Linked DNA regions of Saccharomyces cerevisiae S288C. The protein of the gene in region 1 purifies or fractionates together with the protein of each later gene. This does not show direct contact. Each region holds a gene or a part of one and is shown on either strand. Other genes may lie near its edges.

Region 1 (7,168 bases):
TATAATACAACACTATCTACTCATGAAAGGGCTAAATCTGCTCCTAAGTTCAAATTTAAGAAGCGCAATAAGTACGGAAGAACTGATAATCAATTTTCCAAACCAGTCAATATCGAAGATAGAAAGAAAAGTAAAATTTTGAAAAAATCAAGGAAGCCTCTTGGCATACCAACGCCTAATACACACATGAATAATTTTTTCCACGATTACAAAGCAAGGGATGAATTCAACACCAGAGATTTTTTCACTCCTCCAAGTGTCCAGCACAGGTATATGGAGGGGTTTTCCAACAACAACAATAAACAGTACAGACAGAATCGTAATTACAACAATAATAACAACAACAGCAATAACAATCATGGAAGTAATTATAATAATTTTAACAATGGTAATAGCTATATAAAGGGTTGGAACAAAAACTTTAACAAATACAGAAGACCAAGTTCCTCCAGTTATACCGGTAAGTCACCACTTTCAAGGTACAACATGAGCTATAATCATAACAACAATAGTTCTATAAATGGTTATGCAAGGCGTGGTTCTACGACTACAGTTCAACATTCACCAGGCGCTTATATTCCACCAAATGCCAGGAACCATCACGTAAGCCCAACGAATCAGTTTTTAAGAGTTCCGCAATCAACTGCTCCTGATATCTCTACCGTTTTAGGTGGGAAGCCTTCATACCAGGAACACTACACTCAGGATAGTATGGATTCTGAGGGCGATCACGATTCAGACGACGTTTTATTCACTCTTGAAGAAGGTGATCATGATTTCGTCAATGGTATGGACAACTTATCTATAAATGATCACTTACCGCATACAACGGTAGGTAGCCATAATGAAGTATTTGTTCACGCAAGCACTAATCACAATAACAATGGCAACAACAACCATATCGACACCAATAGTACCACTAATCAATATCATAGACAATATATTCCACCTCCTTTGACAACATCATTGCATATCAACAATAACAATAATGAATCTAATGAACTACCAGATTTACTAAAATCACCAGCATCATCTGAAGCACATTTAAATTTATCTTCTGGACCAATTGATCCAATTTTAACAGGTAATATTGGCAATCGATATTCACACTCATCTGACTCTAAGGAGCTAGAGCAGGAGCGTAGACTCAGTATGGAACAAAAATTTAAAAATGGGGTTTATGTTCCACCTCATCATAGGAAGAGTTTCAACTTGGGAACACAGGTACCTCCTATGAATATGAAGACAAGTAACGAGGCCACGTTGTCAGTTTCGCATAATTCTGTTAATTTTGGTGGATCTTACAATTCCAGGCGTTCCAGTGCTAATGAATCTAACCCACTGCATATGAATAAAGCACTCGAGAAGTTGTCCTCTTCACCAGGAGCTAAAAGCTCCTTCGTTGGCTTCCCTAAACCTTTATTACCTCGTAATCATTCAAGCACTACGATTGCGTTGCAAAATGAAGACGTATTCGCAGACTCTAACAATGACGCCATAATTTTCGAAGACGAAGAATACGAAGGAGAAAGTGACAAGATGGCACATGGCAAAATGGAAGGTGGTGACAACGAATCCTCGTCAACCTCCCCGGATGAAAGGCAAATTTTCGGTCCTTATGAAATTTATGCTCAAACTTTCGCTGGCTCCACTCACGATAAAAAATTAGGAGCTGGCAGGAAGACAAGTATTCAGGATGAAATGGTCGGATCGTTAGAACAATACAAGAATAATTGGTTAATTTTACAGCAACAAGACTAAGCGCACCTATTCCCTCTGTTATGTTGCTTATTATTTTCTTCCCTTCTGAAATGCATTTTTAGCTTTTTTCATCAATTTGGCATCATCGTGCATTTCAACTTCTAAGTATGAATGCTTTTTGGTAGTTAAGCTTGAAGGGTTTTATGAAAACTCTCTTTTCTTAGATATTTCTACAGTCTTATATAACGTCAATTCACACAAAAGTGTTCACTGCCAACTACAAGAATAGCATATACACATATTAGTTACTTCAACGAGTTCTTATTGTTATTATAAAAGTATATAAACCCTATAAGCATTTTTGCATTTGTGCTCTCACATCACCTTTAATCATTTTTTCACTCATGTACCAGTATACGTCGACCTCTACTTCTTCCCTCCTTTCTTTTTTCCAACTTTATCCAATCTTTTACTTTTCTTACTACTTGCTTTCCTTATATGATCGGTACTGTCAATAATCTTAGTCGTTGTACTCTCTGCCAGTTCATCGTTTTCAAATTTCGTATGCTTCCCTTGAAAGTTGCTCCTGCTTATAGAGGGCTCGAATTGGTTTTTATTACCGTCCAAAACATTGGAAATGATATTCTTAGCTTTTTCTTGCTCTGCCTGCGATTTTTCGTTGGATTTGGTTATCCTATTATCGTATTGTTTAGCCTTATCCATGTATGATTTTACTCTTTTCAGTTCGCCGAGTATAGGAGACATATCTTTGACGCCTAGGACTTTCATATTAGCAAACATCAGAGAACTCAATACATACGCGTAACGATTAATTAGTTCTAATTTAGCCCTCTCATCAGATAATAGCAACAGCTGTTCATCCAGTGACTTCGACGTTAGTTTCTCTATTTCTGGTTTCAGCTCGTCTAACGCCTTTGAAAAACTCCTAACGTATGGTTTTATCTTTTCGATATCTTCCATTACTGATCTAATACTCCGTTACGTTGCTAGATATATGTTTATATTAATCGATTTCTACTGTAGGCTGTTAACCAGTTTTTTCTTCCACAGACTACAGAAGGCACAGTCCATAACCATCTGCCTTAGCTCATCGCTGAAAAACTGCACGAGAATTCGTGAAACGTGACATGTTGGGTACCCGCATGAATAGAAAATATGCTAGTAACGACTCTTCTTTACATTCCCATTGCTGGTGTATGTACGCTGATATGAAAATGCTTGCCCAATAAATACCAAGGTTATGACGTTGCCGCTTTGTATTGTCTTCTAATCTAAAAATCTTTCCACGCCAGTAGTGGCTGGCTTTATGCGGCAAAGATCGCTGTTTCTCCTTTTAGAAGTAAATTTCCACGGAGTATGACGGCCGGACGGACCGGCGTAGTTCATTCTAGTCTTAGGGGTCCTTTACCTTGGCAAAAGCATTTCTAAGTGAAACCCTTGCAGGAGTAGAATTGGGCGCAAAGGTCCCTCGTTGGGATCTGTCCTCCTGGGGGACGGTAGGTGGTTGAATGATTCTGCCTTCTTGAAATACGAAATATCAATCTGTTTCTGCTGGCTCACGGTATCTACTGTAATTTCGTTGCTATTGCCATTGATATTAAATTATTGCTACTGTGTGTGGTTCTTACTCTCCATGGATAGTGTTGAAAATATACAGTAATGACTAGAGATTCAAAAAAGAAGCACCATTGGGGCACTGCCTTTTTAAGGACAATTGGAGTCAAACGTAAGCACAAGAAGGATCGTAATTTTTTAAATAATACTACAGGAGAGAATGTTAGCACAACAGCCAGTGCTGAGCGATTCAGAAGAGTAGGAGGAAATCCGGATATTCCGTCTTTACTTAAGCCCGAAACTTTCACGGAATCTCCTGCAAAAGGATCTCAAAAGGCGGCGGCATCTTCCTTAGCGCATAGCCAAGGTGTATTCAATATTCCAATCGTTATAGATCCCATGGAAACAAACAGGCTTGAAAAGACAAACACGAATTTGACGGCAGGTTCATTGAAGGGTCGCTTTCAGGATGGTAACTCGAATTCAAATTCTGTACCAAGTTTATCCGTCCAGGCATTAGAAAAGGAAAAACTGCAAAGTGGGAAACGAGAAGGGTCCAGCAATCAAGCTGAGGAAAAAACTCCAGACGGCCATGATGAACATACCGCCTTTGAAACGTTTCTTTCCTTCGCCCATAATGCCGTAAGCCACATTCCCAAAATAAACGTACAAGACGCTGACAATGGAACAATTTCCAGGAATGAACCAAAGGACAGGAAAAAAAACTCATCTAATATATCAGGAGCCCTTTCCGAAAATAGCACTAACAATAAAAACACTTCATCGACAAAAGAAAGCGATGGCCCATTTTTGAAAAATTTAGACAATATTCTTGCAGCATCCAAATCATCAACTCCAAGTAACCAACAGCTTAATACAACGGAAGCAGGAAGTAAAAGTAAACCATCATCATTATCTAGATTGGCATTTGGAAATTTGAAAGGCCATATTCACTCGAACTCACATTCAAGCTCTAATGCTATCTCAGGAGATGATACATCATTAGATGACACTAGAAAGATGACGGATGATATGGCCAGGAAAGTGGTTTTCGAACCCATCAGGCACTCTCATGATAAGCCTACCCCCGGAGTTGGAAACTTAAAATTAGAGCACTTCGATGATTCTCAAGCTACTCTTGAAGGGTTAGAGGCAATGTCAGCAGAATCGCTGCCAGAGGCGGATCACCTTGACAGCAGAGGCCCGGTACAACAAAGTAATTTGGAAAGAAAAACTGTTCCTTCCAAATGGTCAGTAGTCAGTTCCTCTACAACAGATGGAGTCAAGCCTAGAAGAAGAGCCAAATCAATGATTAGCGCAATGGCAGATAAACAAAACACCAGTAGCGACGTTTTACAAGATTGTAAAAAAAGATTGTCCTTCAACTCCTCTAATGGCCTAACGAATAACGACCCGGAGTATGAAGACCGCGAACCTAGGGAAATGTCCAAGAAGTTTCTTAACAGGAGGTCATTTTCCCCCGGAAGCATTAGCATGGGAATGAAAGTACTACCTTCGACGGCACTGAAATATTCGCTAAACAAAGTAAAAAACAGCACTGATATTGCATCGACCATCATACCGAGACCTAGTATGTCCAACGGTCGTCCATCTTCGGGATTGAGGAGAAGTTCTAGTAAAAGCTTTTCATCTACCCCCGTAAATATCATTGAGCCATCGGAGGAAAATGGTAGACAATCCAGCATTAGAATAAAGGGAGTCGAATACGCGAGCGAAAAGAAAGATGCAGAATTCCATGCAATATTCAAGGACTCTGGTGTCAGCCCCAATGAAAGGTTGATTTTAGACCATAGTTGTGCTTTGTCAAGAGATATCCTTTTGCAAGGCAGAATGTATATTTCTGATCAACATATTGGATTTTATTCGAACATCCTTGGTTGGGTAAGTACCGTTTTTATACCGTTCAAGACAATCGTTCAAATAGAGAAAAGGGCCACAGCAGGAATATTCCCTAATGGGATCGTTATAGACACTTTACACACAAAATACACGTTTGCCTCTTTCACTTCAAGAGATGCTACATATGATTTAATTACTGAAGTATGGAATCAAATAATTTTGGGAAAGAGGTTTCGTAGCAACAGTAATAACACTAATAGCAGCTCCAATTCTATCAGTGATGATGAAAATGACGATTACGATGATGATTACGATGATTATGGAGATGATGATGACGATCTTTACGATAATAGCAATAACATATCTGATTCTACCGACATGACATCAAGCGTCAGCATAGGAAAGCCGGAAGATTTACCCATGCCTCTACAAACAGACACCCCTTATGGAACAGGAATTCCACCACTAGGTCCAAAAATTCACTCACCCACAGAAACAGTATACAAACCAGCGCCCAATGAAAAATTAGTTAACGAATCAACAATACACGCTTCGTTAGGGCGGGTTGTCAATATATTATTCGGGAAAGATGTCAGTTATATTATGGCCATTTTAAAAGCGCAAAAGAATAGTGATATTTCGCCAATCCCTGTTCTCGTTGATTCACCCACGGTTTCTGAAGGTAAAAAGAGAGATTATTCCTACGTAAAAACAACACCAGGTGCCATTGGACCCGGTAAAACTAAATGCATGATAACTGAAACCATTCAACACTTTAACTTAGAGGAGTATGTTCAAGTCTTGCAAACAACAAAAACTCCGGATGTTCCTTCTGGAAATTCATTTTATGTGAGAACAGTTTATCTTTTATCATGGGCAAACAACAATGAAACAAAACTAAAACTGTATGTCTCTGTTGAATGGACAGGTAAAAGCTTGATCAAAAGTCCTATTGAAAAGGGTACATTTGATGGTGTAACGGATGCAACAAAGATATTGGTGGAGGAGCTTGGTAATATTTTAACAAGATCTGCTACCAAAAGGAAAAGGTCTTCGAAGGAGAACACTGTTACAGTATCAACTTTACCGAAAATGGAACCTAGCTCACATGCACCTACCGAGCCTGATATTCAAAAGGATAAGGATGACTCTATTATAAGGGAAAATGAGAATATACCAGCTCCATTAGGGACCGTGGTCCAATTGCTATTTGGATCGAATACAGAGTATATGCAGAAAGTTATCACTAGAGATAAGAATAATGTCAATGTGGAAACGATACCAAAATTCACGCCTTCGTTGGTTGAAGGAGGTTCAAGACACTATGAGTACACGAAGAAATTGAACAATTCTATCGGACCTAAGCAAACAAAATGTTTACTAACCGAGTCTATTGAACACATGGATATCAATAACTATGTTTTGGTGACACAAACAACTAAAACTCCAGACGTCCCCTCTGGTAGCAATTTTGCAGTAGAAAGTAAAATCTTTCTATTCTGGGGGCAGCATGACACCACGAATATGACCGTTATAACAAAAATCAACTGGACAAGTAAATCATTTTTGAAAGGTGCAATTGAGAAAGGATCTGTTGAGGGTCAGAAGGTTTCTGTCGATTACATGCTATCCGAGTTAAGAGACATTATTAGCAGGGCAAAAAGCAAAAAACCGGTGAAGAAAGTAATGAAGAGTCATGATAAACATAGGCCTTTCCATAGTAAGGTTGAACAGAAAAGTTCCGAAAGCCGTAAGAGCGATGATAATAAAGACATTTTAACTCATATTTTGGATTTCGTTCAGAATAATTTTAGTTCAGAAATTTTTATGAACAAATTGCTGAGTCCTCAAAAACTATTCTTGATCTTGGGGTTGACCATTATGCTTTTCTGGTCTCCTCGGCTTCACGTGTTTCAAGAAAAAAATAATCTTCAAATCATCAAGCCAGGAAGGCTGCTGATTGATGGTCAAGAATATAATTACGTGCCCAGTTTCGGCACACTGTATAACTCATATGAAAACGCCATATCAT
Region 2 (5,728 bases), on another chromosome or scaffold:
AACAAAACAAAGGGACAATGATAACAAGGTTGATACTGCACTATTTTGTTCACAGTTTTATGACAATTTGATTGCAATGGATCCCTTGTTAGAAGAATATTTTCCATCATTAAAACATCAAGCAGTTTCGTTCTGTAAGGTCCTTGATTCTGCTATTGACAACCTTGAAAACGTTCATGTCCTAGATGATTATATTGTGAAATTAGGAAAACGCCATTCCAGAATTCTCGGCATCAAAACCGTTGGTTTCGAAGTAATGGGAAAAGCATTTATGACTACATTGCAGGACAGGTTTGGATCTTTTCTCACACTGGAACTCAAAAATCTATGGGGACAACTTTACTCATATTTGGCAAATTGTATGATTACTGCAGGGAAGGACCCAATGGAAAAGATTCAACCAGATTTTTCGTATAATGGTGACTCTGTGGTTTTAAATTTTTCCATTCCCAAACTTGCGATGCATGATATAAGTACAGTTAACAAGCTACAAATGGTGAAAACTAAAAACGCTACTATACCTCATAATATAACACAAGTACCGACAAATAAAATTCCTACAGAAATACTCTTAGACAATTCTTCTACTCCAATAAAAAGCGACCGTGAATCGACGCCTCCAATCTCACCAAAGGGCTCTGGAAGTACAAAACCAAGCATCGGTAGCAGTACCGTCGTGGAAAGTAATACCAAGAAAAATAATTATGATGAAAAAATCCATTTATTGCAAAAAACTGCTCAGCAGAAGAACTGCTCGATTATGTAACTACAACCGTACCATTAAGTGTATAAGTTTCCCAGGTTATATTATATATTCTTTAGATCACTGCCTGTTCTTTATTACCCGCGAGCTAATCTTTGTCTTATATAGGCGCGTCAGCGGAGACGCGTCAAGTCAACTTCTCTCTTCTATCGTCCCGAGTATGAAAAATCATTTCAGATTCGAAGAAATCAGATTGGCTTTATATCTTCTTTAGAACAAGACGTGTAATATTCTCACACTTAGAGTTGACCCCCTCAAGTTCGCTTATTAGTACAGGTTTTGACTTTGCAAATAAACAACAGGAAAAGCGACTCAAATAAATTGACAAAGAAATCTCAACAACCAGAGTGCAAAAGCCGTACGAGCAGCGTTTTTATTAATAACGATATATCACTACGTATTCAACAGAATATGTCGGATAGTATTTCAGATTCAAAGTCCTCAGAACTTTTAAATTCTACTTTTTATTCGTCGACGTCGATAAATACACTTGATCATGCTAGAACCTTTCGAAATTCTCTGATATTGAAGGAGATATCAGATCAAAGTCTAAATTCATCAATAAAGCCATGCGAATCCGTCCTTGATAGGGATGTTGAAAGCTCAGTTCTGCAGCGGTCGTTTGGAGAAAGTAATGCCCGAGACTCAGAAGTACAAACGGTAAATATGACAACTTCCCCCTCATTAAGTGCATTGGCTGATATTCTGAACGAAAGATCCAAATATGCTGACCAAAAAACTAGAAAGGCACAAAATATTGAGTCTTCCATAATAGAAGAAGAAGAAGAGGCCGAAGAGCAAAACAACTCGATCAATTATCACGAGGATATAACTGGATCCAGGCTGTCTGTACGAGAGGAAGCAAATGAAAACTTGGCGATGACCTCTCCAAACCTTATTGACATTGACGGATCCAATAGTATTCAAGTTGCCCCTTTGAGTTTACCGTCTTTCGAAGAACCTGACTTTTTGTCCACTCCTAGAGTAAAACCTGATTCTCAGGGACCTCGGAGCAAAGTTAGTACACGACGTACTATTCTCGAACGAGACAACAATTTACCAGTTAAGCGGGAGGAAAATACTATCATTAATTCAGAAACTGAAAGCACAACACATAGCGCACCATTTTTAAAAGAGGATCCGAAACCCTCGCCTCCTTCGAGTAAATTATACAACCCAAAAGTTCGTTTAAACAAAGCAGAAGCGCGAAAGTATACTGATTCTTCTGCCCAAAGGACTACTTCAGCAGGCTCGGTACTTGAAGACACTTCTATGCATAAAAAGAAAAAGAGTATATTTTCATTTCTGAAGAAGAAAGAACCGAAACCAGTTATTGGTAATAATAGTGTAACGAATGAAAAAAATAAGATGTCTTCATCGAGCACTTTCTCAATGAATATTCAAACCTCTTTAAAAACGCCTGAAAAACTAAAGAAGAAGTCTCACAGTAGCAGTAGCATTTTCAATTCCTTCCTAAAGGGAAAAATTGAAACATCAGACTCACCTCGAAAGGAACCAATGAGGCAAAAAAAAAGAACCCCAAAATCCAAGGACAAAAAGCAAGATACTGAACAAATAATTGACGCCGCATCAGTGTTATCCACTGAATCACCTCTACTACGAAAAAACCACGACGATACTCCCGTGAAAATAGATCACGTAACGAGATCAATTGATCAGAGAAAACCTACTCCTTTAAACATGGATCTCATATTGGGAGGTGATAAACAGATAAATACCCCGCTACAAGAACACGTAAGAGAAGATGATGATGCCAAAAATGATCTTCAATTACCAACCAAGGATAATTTTTTATCACTGGACTACGAAGCACCCTCACCAGCATTTTCCAAACACGATACAGGTGAGGTTCTTTTCCCAAAATTTTTGGATAATCATGAAGTCGACTCGATCGTTTCTTTAGAAAGAACAAGATCTACAAAGTCTAACAAGAGAAGTTCAATGAACTCGCAAAGAAGGTCATTGACAGATACGCTATCGATCAAAGCGCAAAGTGAGGGAATGTTCATCACTGAGGCATCTTCTGTTGTATTATCTACTCCAGACTTGACGAAGTCTCCTGCTAGCAGCATTTTAAAGAATGGAAGGTTCGAATACTCAGATAATTTCTCCAGAGAACACTCTTACGAAGGTACCACGAATGAGGACTTTTTAGATATCAAGGACGATAGTGGTCCACTAAAAAAAGATGACATATTTTTAGAGTCTATTGAACAAAAATTTGACCAGCTAGTGATGGCCTCTGATGAAGAAAAAACTGAAGTTGAAAGGGATGTACCAAAACCAAGAGAAGAACCTCTGAAGAAGGATTCTGAAAGGCAAAGCGTTTTTGCAGATGATGATAACGAGTTAATTTCTGATATAATGGAGTTTGCAAGTTTTATTAACTTCGGTGATGATGATCTCAATCTAGACCTAGACTTGGGAGATACAACGGCCTCATATGCAACAGAAACCCCTGAACCTGTTGGAAATGATGAAGTAAATCGCTCTGGTACTTTTGATACACGAAATAACAAAGAGGATAGTTACAAAGAAAGAGAAACTCAATCTTATTCCGCTGCTGGAGCTACTACATACGGAGATGAGCGTCAAGGTCAATTACATACATTTGAACAAGACGGAAGTGAAATAAATGACAACGAATTTGAGAATGAAGATTTCAACAAACACATAGAACAGCCCATAGAAGTTACTCCAAGAAATAATGCATATTTACCAGAATTCGAACCCAATAGACCTGTTTCAATGTCCTTTAAAGGACTAAAAGCCCCAAGAATGAATACTTCTTTTATTGACTCCATGACGCCTGATTCTCCCGTAAAATCAGACTTAACAAGTCTAGGTGAGGTGTATGTAAACAGTAATAATGACCAGGGTGTCCGGTTTTCGTCCCAGATAATACTTTACGACACTTATGGAGAATTCGAATATGATAGACATCCAGAAATTTCCACTTGTAACCAGCTTACTCCACAACTGGCTCAAATGATCAAATTGGAATTAAATGAGTTAAAGAGCGCAATGGAAGTACACGATGATTCGCGATGTTACACACATTTTTATTAGAGCAGAAAACTGGGAGAAATGGAAATGAATCAAATCATACATATCAAGACATTCTAGTTTTTATAAACCTATAATTTATCGCAAGAATCTTGGGTGTTATGTGTTGTATTTGCGGCATCATTTCAAAATACCGTCTGCATTACCCGTCTCCGTCACGTGAAGTAAAAATTTCCAAAAAATATTGAAAAAAGAAAGAAAAATAAGATCCAGAATTCACTGATGATGAGCTTATGGTACGGCATGATTAACTACGCATTTGTATATTAAAGATTCTTTGATTTTTTCCAGAGCATTGAATACCTCAATCTATAAGTGTATTATAATGGCATGCAATTTTCAGTTTCCAGAAATAGCTTATCCAGGTAAACTAATATGCCCACAGTACGGTACGGAAAATAAAGATGGCGAAGATATAATTTTCAATTATGTGCCCGGTCCCGGAACTAAACTAATTCAATATGAACACAACGGACGAACTTTAGAAGCTATAACTGCTACACTAGTTGGGACAGTGAGGTGTGAGGAAGAAAAAAAAACTGATCAGGAAGAAGAGCGTGAAGGCACTGATCAATCTACAGAGGAAGAAAAATCAGTAGATGCATCACCTAATGATGTCACAAGAAGAACTGTAAAAAATATTCTGGTTTCAGTGCTTCCTGGGACAGAAAAGGGTCGTAAAACCAACAAATATGCTAATAATGATTTTGCCAATAACCTACCGAAGGAAGGTGATATTGTGCTGACCAGGGTGACAAGGCTTTCGTTGCAACGAGCCAATGTCGAAATTTTAGCTGTGGAAGATAAACCATCTCCAATTGATAGTGGCATCGGCAGTAATGGATCGGGAATAGTCGCTGCTGGTGGCGGTTCTGGAGCAGCTACGTTCTCTGTTTCTCAAGCATCATCAGATTTAGGTGAGACATTCAGAGGTATAATCAGGTCTCAGGATGTACGGTCTACAGACAGAGATCGTGTGAAAGTGATAGAATGTTTCAAGCCGGGAGATATTGTTAGGGCGCAAGTTTTATCATTAGGTGACGGAACCAACTACTATTTGACCACTGCAAGGAATGACCTTGGGGTCGTGTTCGCCAGAGCTGCTAATGGTGCTGGTGGATTGATGTATGCTACAGACTGGCAAATGATGACTTCACCGGTTACAGGCGCTACAGAAAAGCGCAAATGTGCCAAACCTTTTTGATATGTAACAGCTTATCTACAGTGCATATAGACGCGTATATATTTAAAAGAGGGTATTCGCTTCTTCTTCTTTAGATTGCATTCTTTGATGGTTAGGAAAAAGAAGCGGGAACGTGATTAAACTTTTTATTCTCTTTTATTTATTATATATTATAGTGCATTATCATTATCTATCTAAATTTGCCTTTACACGGTACTGCTTTCCGATTTTACTGGGTAAAGAAGTTTTTCATGAGTACCTCTTAAATCAACCTCACTTAAACCTACAATACCACCGAAGCTTTGAAACCTCTTAAAATAATGATCTCTTTTTTCACGCGCGGTTTCCACCAGAGCTGGCCAATAAACATCATGATTGTACTTGAATTTCAGATCACCACCATACAACGAATCTAGTTCGTTCTTAGGGACATATTTAACAAATGGTTCATCAAAAACTAGCTTTTCACGGGTCAGTGGGTCAATAAAAGGGTGAATTAACTTCAAGAAAGTCCATGCTAACCAAGGAATATTCGTCAAAAGTGCTTTTCCTAGTCTTTCTGGATAATGAGTTTGTAGAATATGCAGCACTTCTTTCCCTACACCAATAGGTGGGATTTTACTATTGCCAGGTACTTTAGGAACATCAGGGTAATCTTTAAAGTCTATTAGCAAAGCTAGAGAGTCTTGACCAGC

The links. The genes of interacting proteins can lie anywhere in the genome.
Region 2: the proteins of LRP1 (region 1) and CSL4 purify together in Saccharomyces cerevisiae (affinity purification with mass spectrometry; 5 studies listed by BioGRID). This does not show direct contact.

Annotation. Positions count from the first base shown.
Region 1 is NC_001140.6:263,052-270,219, reverse strand, and holds LRP1 (Lrp1p), read right to left. Parts: upstream 2,683-7,168; coding exon 2,128-2,682; downstream 1-2,127. Other genes in the region: putative serine/threonine protein kinase KSP1, read left to right, coding at 1-1,761; LAM4 (Lam4p), read left to right, coding at 3,382-7,168. UniProt on the Saccharomyces cerevisiae protein: Required for exosome-dependent processing of pre-rRNA and small nucleolar RNA (snRNA) precursors. Involved in processing of 35S pre-rRNA at the A0, A1 and A2 sites. Required for activity of RRP6 in 7S pre-rRNA processing.
Region 2 is NC_001146.8:210,748-216,475, forward strand, and holds CSL4 (exosome non-catalytic core subunit CSL4), read left to right. Parts: upstream 1-4,175; coding exon 4,176-5,054; downstream 5,055-5,728. Other genes in the region: YNL234W (uncharacterized protein), read left to right, coding at 1-766; BNI4 (Bni4p), read left to right, coding at 1,175-3,853; PDR16 (phosphatidylinositol transporter), read right to left, coding at 5,240-5,728.